3 linked regions of the Caenorhabditis elegans genome follow. The protein of the gene in region 1 purifies or fractionates together with the protein of each later gene. This does not show direct contact. Each region holds a gene or a part of one and is shown in the gene's direction. Other genes may lie near its edges.

Evidence for each region.
Region 2: the proteins of chdp-1 (region 1) and K03B8.6 fractionate together in Caenorhabditis elegans (co-fractionation; one large-scale study listed by BioGRID). This does not show direct contact.
Region 3: the proteins of chdp-1 (region 1) and H39E23.2 fractionate together in Caenorhabditis elegans (co-fractionation; one large-scale study listed by BioGRID). This does not show direct contact.

What each region holds. Positions count from the first base shown.
Region 1 is NC_003279.8:6,283,292-6,287,044, forward strand, and holds the start of chdp-1 (Calponin homology domain-containing protein), read left to right. Parts: upstream 1-1,681; 5' UTR 1,682-1,716; coding exon 1,717-2,082; intron 2,083-2,396; exon of another isoform or gene 2,397-2,608; intron 2,609-3,056; exon of another isoform or gene 3,057-3,281; intron 3,282-3,372; coding exon 3,373-3,531; intron 3,532-3,744; coding exon 3,745-3,753.
Region 2 is NC_003283.11:11,405,505-11,409,257, forward strand, and holds the start of K03B8.6 (uncharacterized protein), read left to right. Parts: upstream 1-2,079; 5' UTR 2,080-2,080; coding exon 2,081-2,203; intron 2,204-2,390; coding exon 2,391-3,023; intron 3,024-3,078; coding exon 3,079-3,237; intron 3,238-3,540; coding exon 3,541-3,621; 3' UTR 3,622-3,753.
Region 3 is NC_003283.11:14,108,191-14,111,943, forward strand, and holds the start of H39E23.2 (T20D4.11-like domain-containing protein), read left to right. Parts: upstream 1-2,151; 5' UTR 2,152-2,170; coding exon 2,171-2,344; intron 2,345-2,604; coding exon 2,605-2,709; intron 2,710-2,930; coding exon 2,931-3,107; intron 3,108-3,563; coding exon 3,564-3,671; intron 3,672-3,717; coding exon 3,718-3,753. Other genes in the region: H39E23.3 (Neurofilament heavy polypeptide-like), read left to right, coding at 1-1,861.

The sequences.
Region 1 (3,753 bases):
TTACCGTACTAATTGTTTCCGCTTTAGATAATTCCGTTCTATCATCCGATAAAATAGCGCTAAATAATTCTTCAACCTTTTTATTGGTATGAACTCGATGCAATGCTTTCAACTCTCAAATACCCAGTAATTTTGGTTGTCATGGTTACATTCGATTGTGAACCTTCAAAAATTATCTGTTTTCAATTTCATCACTCAAGCAGCACACGCAAACATCCATCCAGCGCGGACACCCGCCCCACAAGTCAGTAGACTCCGCCCAAATTTTCCGTCCGCTATGAGAGACGGGAGAGGGACACATTTGCCGCTGCTGCTGCCGCAATGGAAAGGGACGTTTCGGTGGCTGCTGCCACTGTGTGCATCATTGCGGTTGGGTGGTGTGGTGATGGTGCTGGTAATGGTTGACGATTGGACCACTGGCCTTGTCCTCTTTTTCACTGCAAAATGTGTGCAATACCCCTGCTCTCATATTCATTCATTTCGTCGCCCACATCCATTCCATTCGTCTTTTCTGGACATTTCTTGTTCTCTTTTTGACTCCGCCTTTTTCTCGATTTCGTAATCTATGTTTCCTATGTTTCTCATTTCGAAATCATGAATGACTCATGCTCTGAAGTTCGGACTTCTGTTCATTTCACTTCTATTTGCTTCATTTTTAAATTTAGTGTAGGTGAGAACAGCAACGACTGAATCAGAATCGAGAGCAAATAGGGGGCGGGCGGCGGTTCGATATATCAAATGACACGGAGGTAGACCATTCAAAAAGGTAAATGGTGTTAGTGGACCCTCGCCTCTCATCTCATACCGTCTCTTTCTCTCGTCTGAATAGTCTTTTTGACACACTTATTGTCGTTATGAAATGAATGTGAATAGAGGAAAAAAGGAGATTGAATGACCCTTTTTCGCCACCTCACCTGCTGAGTAAGAACCGGTTATTCCAGAATAGTGAAAGGCTCTTTTGGTTTCTTTTCTTAAGCCTTCTAGTACTCTACCTTCCTACATTTATTGCCTTTTTTCGTCCAGACGAATGTTTTCCAGGAAAAGTGAGCGCTTCTTATCTCGTTAGCATTATTCTTCGATTCAATTCAAGTCGCATATGACTAGTTCTTCTTTTTAAATCATAACCTAAACGCGCATTTTCTCTTCATGACCTTTTCCCGCAATTTGAGCATCGATTGACTGTTCTAGCCCCCGCAGCGTTCAGCGTTCCGCGTACCATCTAGTCTCTTCACACAATCAGTCTTACATTATTGTCCCTACTATAACATCGTCTTCTCTTTCTTTTTACATTGTCTCACTTGAGTTCTTCGTCTTTTTTTGTTCTTCTCATCTATATCCACTAAAACCCCATTCTTGGAGACGGTTCTAGAATAGAAAATGAGTCCTCGACAGAGACGGGTGCAATTAGTGTCCAAGCGAGAGAGAAGCTTTTGCTCATTCCGGTTTTGTCTTTTGCCTACCAAAATGTGCTACCCCGGCTTACTAGCGGCTCGCTACTGGAGACTCTATTCGATTACCCCCGTAATTGAGTTGACTTTCATGGTAGTCTTCTGTTTTTCCCCATTCCATTTTCTCATTTTTCTTATTCTCCTCTCCAACTCGTCTATTTCTCTCGTATTTTTTCTCCATTTTTAGCTCTTTGTTTCTCCGAATACCTCGAAAATTAATGAGTTTCTTTCAGTCTCAGTTCTCTCGTCACTAACCAACACATCAACTATGTCTGAGGAAATCAAGAAGATCGAGGAGGTCGCCGAGCAAGACAAGGCTCCAAAGGTTCCAACCACCGAACCACCAGTCGATGTTCCAGCACCAGTTACTGAAGAAGCACCAAAAGTAGAAGAAGCTGTCGCTGAGATTGCTGCCCCAGCTGCTGCAGAAGGAGAAACTGCCACCGCTGCTGCTGCAGCTCCAGAAGAGAAAAAGAAGTCTGGAGGTGTTGCTCGGCGTTTCACTTTCAACAAGAGATGGGGAAAGCACCGTGATGCGGAAGCATCCACTCCAAAAGAGCCAGAAGCACCAAAGGATCCAAAGGAAGACGTTCTCGGATGGATTGCTCAACAGATTCCACAGGCTGTTCACAAGGTAAGAATACTTTCAAAATAACTAAAACGATTCAGGGCAGATGGTATTCTCGCTAGAGCAACCGAAACGCAGGTTTAGTATTCACCCTAGCATAACAGCTGTTTCCGATTAGCCCCCATTCTCACCAGTTACCTTTGAATTCAAATTACCGCAGTTCGATTTTTTAAGAATCATAGGTGAATTCATTGGAATGCCTAAAAATTTCTAGGAATTGGCCAAAACGATGCATAAGTACTTTTAACTAACAAGAACCTATCTGAAATTTGATCCTGAGCTCACAAAAAAGTTTGGAACAAGTGCATTTTCCCCTACTCCTTCACAAGTTCATTAAGTCTATTCATCAACATTTGCAATGTATCGCTCATTGGTATTTGCAAGGTTTTTTGTTTGATCGCGCCGGCGAGATTGGCGATGTGCGTCGGCACTCTGTAAAAGGGCAGCTGTGCCAATCTTTCCTCGTTCCGACGCTCGTATTGCTGCAGACCCCGTAGAATGGTGTTGTAATGTAACTAACTGTGTGTGCGCGCGCACCGGATTCGCTATTGCGTAACTCTTTAGGATAATGAGAGGCAGATATTGTAGATATCCTAGAAATTGACAGACGTTCGTAAAAGTTATAAAATCGATGTTGTCTGGTGACCAGGATATTTACACGAATTAGAAATAAAAAGATGTGTGATTCGACTTTAAATTTTGAATACTCACAAAAATAATCCCCATGGAAACGGAAACAAAAATACATGACGAAAAGTATTTATATTTCATCATAATTTCGAAACATCTGTTTTATACAATGAGATTCACAAAGATTAGCATGTATGAAATCTCTTTTAAAGTCTGAATTTCGCAGGAATTTTGAGAGAAGAAAGTTTAGAAGCTATACAAAAAATTGGGTCAATTTCCCTAGACATTAATCCTGAACAATTGCTGGTTCAGTTCGACAGCCATTTTTTGTTGGTACACAAGATGAATTCGTCCTTTTTGCATCTTCTTTCCCAAAAAAAAAGGAACTCATTGGTTGAACCGCGCTGCTGCTCTGCTCCTCCTTTCTTTGTTTCTTAATTCTGATGCAAACGCACTTCTGTTTTAGTGGTTGCCGTCTTTCTTGTCCAGCACGAATGAGAATGATCTCTTATATGGAGGCTTGCAACATTGAGAGTGCTCTCATGGGATTATAGCAGAAAGAACTGGTATTGGATATTTGCGTCTTTTTTGCACTGAGAAAACAAATTACATTGGAACGTTCTTTTTTCGGATTCTTATTTTGGTCATTAAAGTTTTATTTTTCAGGCCAACTACCAGGTTATCGACTGGGTTCAGAAGACAGCTATCCCAGAGGAAGGAGAGCGAAAGACCATTCCGGGAAAAGATCAGGCCACGACTCGCAACCAATTCATTGGATTCTTCAAAGATGGAGATGTCCTCGCCAAGCTGGCCAACGCTCTTGAGGTATGTTAATTTCACTTTTCTGATAAGAATATATGGGGTAATGATGATGATGATAAAATGTGATAAGTGATATGCAAATAGGTCGGAAGGTGCATTATCAATTAGCGGTATTTCCGTTCCGACATTGATCGGAATTCGGAAATATTTTGAGATCTATTATATGAGTTAATTAAGTGAGGGATCTTAATCATGAAAACAAATTAAAATTTACAGCCAGGAGCA
Region 2 (3,753 bases), on another chromosome or scaffold:
TTGGAAGTATGTTCACACTGTTCAAAACGACCTTACCCGAATCGCCTGTCAGAGTATTTTTTTTGGAAAATAGGAGTACGAGTGGTGTTTTTCAATGATAAAATATAAGCTTCTCGGTAATCATTTTCATAGACGCTTACGTTGCAACTTTTCCGAAAACTGACCATTACCCTATTCCACAAGTTTTTCTTTCATTTCTTTCTTTTTACCGTCCTTTCTGTTCATCTCCAGTCCCGACCTTTTATTTCAAATGGATAGATTCAAAAACGCACGTTTACTTTGCACTTTTTGATTGTTCTTTTGCAATACTACAGTAAATCGTGTGAGCAACCTTTTATGGCAACCAACACCGCTTTTGCAAACGAGTGGACGTGAGAGCCAGATAATCACCATATCTCTTTTTGTGTGTGTGTATTGATGCCGACTTTCCTTCAAAAAAGTCAAAAGACATGTTGTCGGAGAGTTACAAAAGAGCAACTCGTCATTCCTGATGAGCACACTTCACGCGCCGAGCCAAGCTTTTCAGTCAGTGTTCAGCCGACTTGCCCCACGACCGATGCATGAGCCACTCTGTTCTTCGGAAAACAAAAGTGTCATGGTTGAACAAGGAGCCGCACACTTATTGTACAAGGCATAATTTGAACAAATAATTTCATGTGGCGGGTGGCGACTGTCTCAGCGGCGAGGAAGACCTCCCGGCTCTTTTGTATCGCAAACACGTTCAAATCAGAAAGAAAAGTTGAAGAGCAACGGGAAAGAAAGAGATATGTATGGAGTTGAAATGAGAGTAATGGGGAAAAATATCAATGTTATTCTCTATTCAAACTTTCATAGACTGTGGTGTTTGATCCTTTAGAGTTCTTCTTTTTGAAATTTCATATTCATTCAGATGAACGTATACAAAAATTATGGAAAAAGTCGTAAAAAAGTTTTTAGAATTATCTAAAACACAGAAAATATATTCAAAATATCACTTGAACATCGTTTTCGTAAAAACCATGTACAATAAACATAAAAAGCACTTCGCATGAAAATTTAATTTTTTGACCCTTTTTACTATTTCAAGTCAAGTCTAGACATTTGCAAGATGTCATACCCAACATTTTCTCGTAAGAAATCATTTCTTCAACCTACTTGACTTGGTAATTCAACCGTTTTTCACACATTTACCATCCTCATCTCTTCTATTCTTGTCCTTTTCTTTCGTTTTCTTTGCGCACGTATCGTAATCTCGTGTTATGCAAAATAGGGGTACTTGTTAATGCAGACGTTGTGGTTTCATACCTCTCTTGATCTTCTCATATTTCTCATATTTTGCAAATTGCCGTCGGCTATATTACTTTGATGTCCCAGACGATATCTCATGATTTTGTTTAGAAAAATCTATTTTTGATCGTAAATTTGTAAAAATAAAATGGTAGCCGATGGTAGATAATGGAAAAATGTTTACGTTGCTTGCTTTTTAACAACGGGGATATTGAAGGTTAGGAGTGAGAAATGTGTCATCAAGGATTCTTTTTGTAACTTTACTCTAGACTGTTGGAAGGGCAGAGGTTTTAAGAAAAAGAATATGACAAATAGAACTTGAAACGTAGGATGTGAAACATCTGATCGTAATAGTCCGAAATTCACAACTCAGCGGGTTCAGTTTCATATAAGATAAAATACAATATTGATTTTAAGGGCATCTTCTTCTTTTTTCCTAACTGTATCAAATTTTTATCAAACCTATTTGCTCAAATATTCTTCCTTTTCATGTTTGAAAGTTTTAAAAGTTTTCCGTTCGACCTCACTTTTTTCCTCCTTTTCTGTCCTTTGAAACTATCTTGCTCGTTCTCGCCTTTTCTCAATTTAAAAAATGCTCATCTGCCACATACCTCTTCTATGTTCTCTGTCTCTTCATCTCAAACATTGTCTCTACTTGACACTTTGCCTGACACCATCTCAATGTGTGTTGGCCGTGTGTATGAAAGAGGCGTGGTTTGAGTCTGTCTGGAGGAAACCATGTTGTCTTTTTCATTTTTCCGTGCCCTCTCTTCATTGTAAAATATTTATGAAGAAACATTATTTTAACTTCAGAATGAGGAAGCCACTGGTGGTATTGCTGTTGATACTGGTGACAACGGTGGAGAGTCGATTCGTGGACAAAATGGTCAATTCAGAAATTGGAGACACCTATTACAAACACGAATCGGATCCAATAGTAAGCTCTTTTCAAAAAATTTGCTTCAATGAGTGAAAACTAGTAATCTGAAGAAGAAATACATTGTCCGAAATTTAGAAGTGAACTAGCGAAGTCTCTGTTTTTTTTTATTTTATTTTATTGTTGCAGCCTTCTTATAGAAGGAATTTTCTAATTTTAAACAAATGTTATATTACTTATTTTCTAGATGATCGACGACAAAGATGACGCACCTCAATACGAAGTAAATTCGGAAGAAGTTCCAACTTTGCCACGTATGAATAGTCAGACCAAATGGGAAATGATTCGTGCCAGTGGACAAGATCCAACAGTCCGTCGTAGAAAAAACAAGCAGCATCGTCAGCAGAAAGTCGTCCTTGGACGTGAACGTCGTGACTTGATCCTTGCTCCATGGAGAATCACTCATGTTGTTCCGAAAAAGAAAGAAGCTGAAGTTCCAAAGAAAGCAATGGCTCTGTCATTTGATGTCTGTCCTGAAAAATTCGATGCAATTACAAAGGGAATCAATGGAAGAACCTATGTTTTTGCTCGCGAAAGGGTTTATCAAATTTGGTTTGAAGACGGACTTCCACAAAAAGCGTCTTACTTGATCAGTGAATTCTTTGCTGGAGGACCGAGAACTGTGACCGCCGCATTGACAAATTCTCGATCTGGAGTCACAATTCTCTTTGATGGACGAACTGCATACAGATTCCGTTGGAACAGAAAACATCGTAGATTCCAGCTGGCGAAAAATACCCCACAAGATCTTCCCCGAAACATCACAATCCATCCATTGTCAGCATTTGAATGGGCCGATGGAAATCAAGTTGTTCTCAGTGTGAGTTGATATCAATCTTAAGAAAACCTTCTTGTCATGGTTGAAATGATTTCAGGGTGAACACTTCATCATCTACGACGCATACTGGAACTTAGCCACATTCACAGGCCACACACGCAAGTATTTCCCAAATCTGCCAAGGGATCTACTGGGAATCGTGTACAACGGAGCTGGAGAAACACTTTTGATGTACACCAAGACAAACAAGTTAAAGGTATTCTTTCCGCAATATTAAAATCTTCGGCAGTCGGCCACTTTTTTCCGCTGGCGATATTCTCAATTAAACAGTACTTATATTTACGAAAATCGGCAGCCCCGTCAATTTCCGATAAGTTTAAATTTTCAGAGAACGCCAATTGCCGAAATTATCGGGAAAATTTATATCTTGAGTTCAGCATACGTATCAGCTTTTAGAGCATTCATAACTCTCTCGATAGCGACTCTATAGTAACAATTTTCAATAGGATTCCAACTTTGCTGTTGAAATATAAATCGATCTTTTATGTTAATTTTTCAGGTTTACAACACGAAGAAGTTCAAAGTAGTACAAGAATATCCGCTGAAACTGTCTGAATTTGTCGGATGTCAAACTAGATGATCTGCTCAATCTGTCTTCATGCCTTTCTATCAAATCTCTCCCATTTCCGATGATCTGATCCTTTCATTCGTTTCCTTCTCAATCTTAAGATCGATCGATTTTGCTTTTTTGCTTTATTTGTTTTTTTTTCTA
Region 3 (3,753 bases), on another chromosome or scaffold:
CAAGAGAGAAGCTGATAAGCCAAAGACTGAATCTGCTGATTCTGAGAAGAAGGCCCCAGCCAAGAGAGAATCTGATAAGCCAAAGACTGAATCTGCTGATTCCGAGAAAAATGCCCCAGCCAAGAGAGAAGCTGATAAGCCAAAGACTGAATCTGCTGATTCCGAGAAAAAGGCCCCAGCCAAGAGAGAAGCTGATAAGCCAAAGACTGAATCTGCTGATTCCGAGAAGAAGGCCCCAGCCAAGAGAGAAGCTGATAAGCCAAAGACTGAATCTGCTGATTCTGAGAAGAAGGCCCCAGCCAAGAGAGAATCTGATAAGCCAAAGACTGAATCTGCTGATTCTGAGAAGAAGGCCCCAGTCAAGAGAGAAGCTGATAAGCCAAAGACTGAATCTGCTGATTCTGAGAAGAAGGCCCCAGCCAAGAGAGAATCTGATAAGCCAAAGACTGAATCTGCTGATTCTGAGAAGAAGGCCCCAGTCAAGAGAGAAGCTGATAAGCCAAAGACTGAATCTGCTGATTCCGAGAAGAAGGCCCCAGCCAAGAGAGAATCTGATAAGCCAAAGACTGAATCTGCTGATTCTGAGAAGAAGGCCCCAGTCAAGAGAGAAGCTGATAAGCCAAAGACTGAATCTGCTGATTCCGAGAAGAAGGCCCCAACCAAGAGAGAAGCTGATCCACCAAAGACTGAATCTGCTGATTCCGAGAAGAAGGCCCCAGCCAAGAGAGAAGCTGATAAGCCAAAGACTGAATCTGCTGATTCCGAGAAGAAGGCTTCAGCCAAGAGAGAAGCTGATAAGCCAAAGACTGAATCTGCTGATTCTGAGAAGAAGGCCCCAGTCAAGAGAGAAGCTGATAAGCCAAAGACTGAATCTGCTGATTCTGAGAAGAAGGCCCCAGTCAAGAGAGAAGCTGATCCGCCAAAGACTGAATCTGCTGATTCCGAGAAGAAGGCCCCAACCAAGAGAGAAGCTGATCCACCAAAGACTGAATCTGCTGATTCCGAGAAGAAGGCCCCAGCCAAGAGAGAAGCTGATCCACCAAAGACTGAATCTGCTGATTCCGAGAAGAAGGCCCCAGCCAAGAGAGAAGCTGATCCGCCAAAGACTGAATCTGCTGATTCCGAGAAGAAGGCCCCAGCCAAGAGAGAAGCTGATCCACCAAAGACTGAATCTGCTGATTCTGAGAAGAAGGCCCCAGTCAAGAGAGAAGCTGATAAGCCAAAGACTGAATCTGCTGATTCCGAGAAGAAGGCCCCAGCCAAGAGAGAAGCTGATCCACCAAAGACTGAATCTGCTGATTCCGAGAAAAATGCCCCAGCCAAGAGAGAAGCTGATAAGCCAAAGACTGAATCTGCTGATTCCGAGAAGAAGGCCCCAGCCAAGAGAGAAGCTGATCCACCAAAGACTGAATCTGCTGATTCCGAGAAGAAGGCCCCAGCCAAGAGAGAAGCTGATCCGCCAAAGACTGAATCTGCTGATTCCGAGAAGAAGGCCCCAGCCAAGAGAGAAGCTGATCCACCAAAGACTGAATCTGCTGATTCTGAGAAGAAGGCCCCAGTCAAGAGAGAAGCTGATAAGCCAAAGACTGAATCTGCTGATTCCGAGAAGAAGGCCCCAGCCAAGAGAGAAGCTGATCCACCAAAGACTGAATCTGCTGATTCCGAGAAAAATGCCCCAGCCAAGAGAGAAGCTGATAAGCCAAAGACTGAATCTGCTGATTCCGAGAAGAAGGCTTCAGCCAAGAGAGAAGCTGATCCACCAAAGACTGAATCTGCTGATTCTGAGAAGAAGGCCCCAGTCAAGAGAGAAGCTGATAAGCCAAAGACTGAATCTGCTGACAAGGTTCCACTACCACATTAACTCGATATGGAACTTCGACGAGAAAGTATCTTTTGAATTAATAAAAACATGTATGAAATGTTATTGTGCATATAGTTCTGTAATAAACTCATTTTTCACAACTACGTTGTAGTGTTTTCGAAAAATACAAACAAACTAAATTGAAAATAGCTTTTTAATCTATGTTCTCCATTGCTCAGGTTCATTTTCAGTCAGATTCATCATGCTGTTTACATCAAATTTTCAAGAAAACAGCTGTTCTTAACATTTGATTTCCAATCTTTTGGCATCCGATTTCTCCACTCTCCTCGAAGATTTCATATTCAAAAAATGAAGTTTTCATCAACTATTATATTTCTTATTTTTTTACTTGTGCCCTCTTTGAAATGTGCATTCCGGACTGGACATAGACATGACTGGTATGAAAAGAATCGTCTGAAAGTTTCCTGTTTGCAACAGGATGATCCAGTTGGAAGGAATGCAGTTAGTCGGTGCTGGTTCTGGGTTCGTTCTCCATTTGACAATAGAAATAGTTATGAATCTTTCAAATTTTGTTGCGAGAGAATTGAATTACATCAACAATATCGCTAGTTTTGAGCTTCAAAAGTTCAAAATTGCAATTTCGTGTTAACTGTTGTAAGTGTATCGCTGTTGTAACACAACACCCTACATACAGTAATTTAAAAGTAATCTAACTAAATTAAATTCGACCCATAATTATTAAAACAAACAATTCAAAAAGCTCTATAATTTCCATTTTCCAGGAAGGAATGAAATCATGGTTCCGAAGAACATCGATCTCTTGGTATCCCGAACAAACGAAAACGTGGAATATGACAGAATTGACAGCACATTGTGATAAGTATTATGTAAGGTCATGAGTACTTTTCTGGAACCTTATTCTGATGAAAATTGAAATGTTATTGATGAAGTACCGAAATAAATTAACCGCTCCGCGGTTTTTGCACCGACATTAGAAGATATTGTTTTTTTAACAAAGCAATCGTATAAGTACGGAAATTCAACAATGTTTTTGGCTAATTTAAAATGATTGAACAACTAATTTAAATTGAGTCACGTCTTATTTCAGACCTGTATGGAAAATACAAAATGCTACAAGGACTTTGTCCTATTTGAGACATTGGATAGATGCTCTCATGATGCATTCAATATTGGTCCAATGAGCTTTTGCTATTCTACTTTAAGAGATGTTGCAAAGAATTTCCCAGACAAGTTATCGTCTTGCGTGAAGGAACACTTGGATGCGGTGAGTGCATTTATCTGAGTGGGTCTCACCACGATTTGTGCCTAATTTTAGATACTTGCGTAGTTGATGTGGAAAGTGGAGTTTTTGAAATGTCAATTTCTGAAATGTACAGAGAAAACATGAATTTATTATGGAATATTTATCACTTACTGTCACGTTTCCGCAAACGGACGATATTGTAATTTTTCCATTTTCTGATATTTGCACTTAAAAACACACCGATTTATTCGGTAGGTTCTCGCCGCGAGAAAAAATTTGTTATTTGAAATTTTTCTCGTGGCGAGACCCATCCAAATAAACCTGTGCGCCTTCAATTACTCATCACGGTATTTTGAAAATGTTTAATAGTAATTTGTGTATTTTTGTGAAATTCGCAGAATTGAGATCGTGGTGAGACCCAATGAAGCCCCACATTTTCCCAAATTTAAAAAAGCAATTGTAACGTCCTATTTTCAGACTCCGACAAGGAAATGGACTTGCGAGATAGCCCAGGATTTAGGAAATTGTCTTCTACCGGACGTTAAAAATTACTGTGAACCGAATTTTCTACCGATATTTAAAGAGGTTTCCAATATATTTATTCTACATTTAAAATTAAAATCCGTTCCAGCATCAAGATTCTCGTATGTTCAATTTGGGTTGCGAT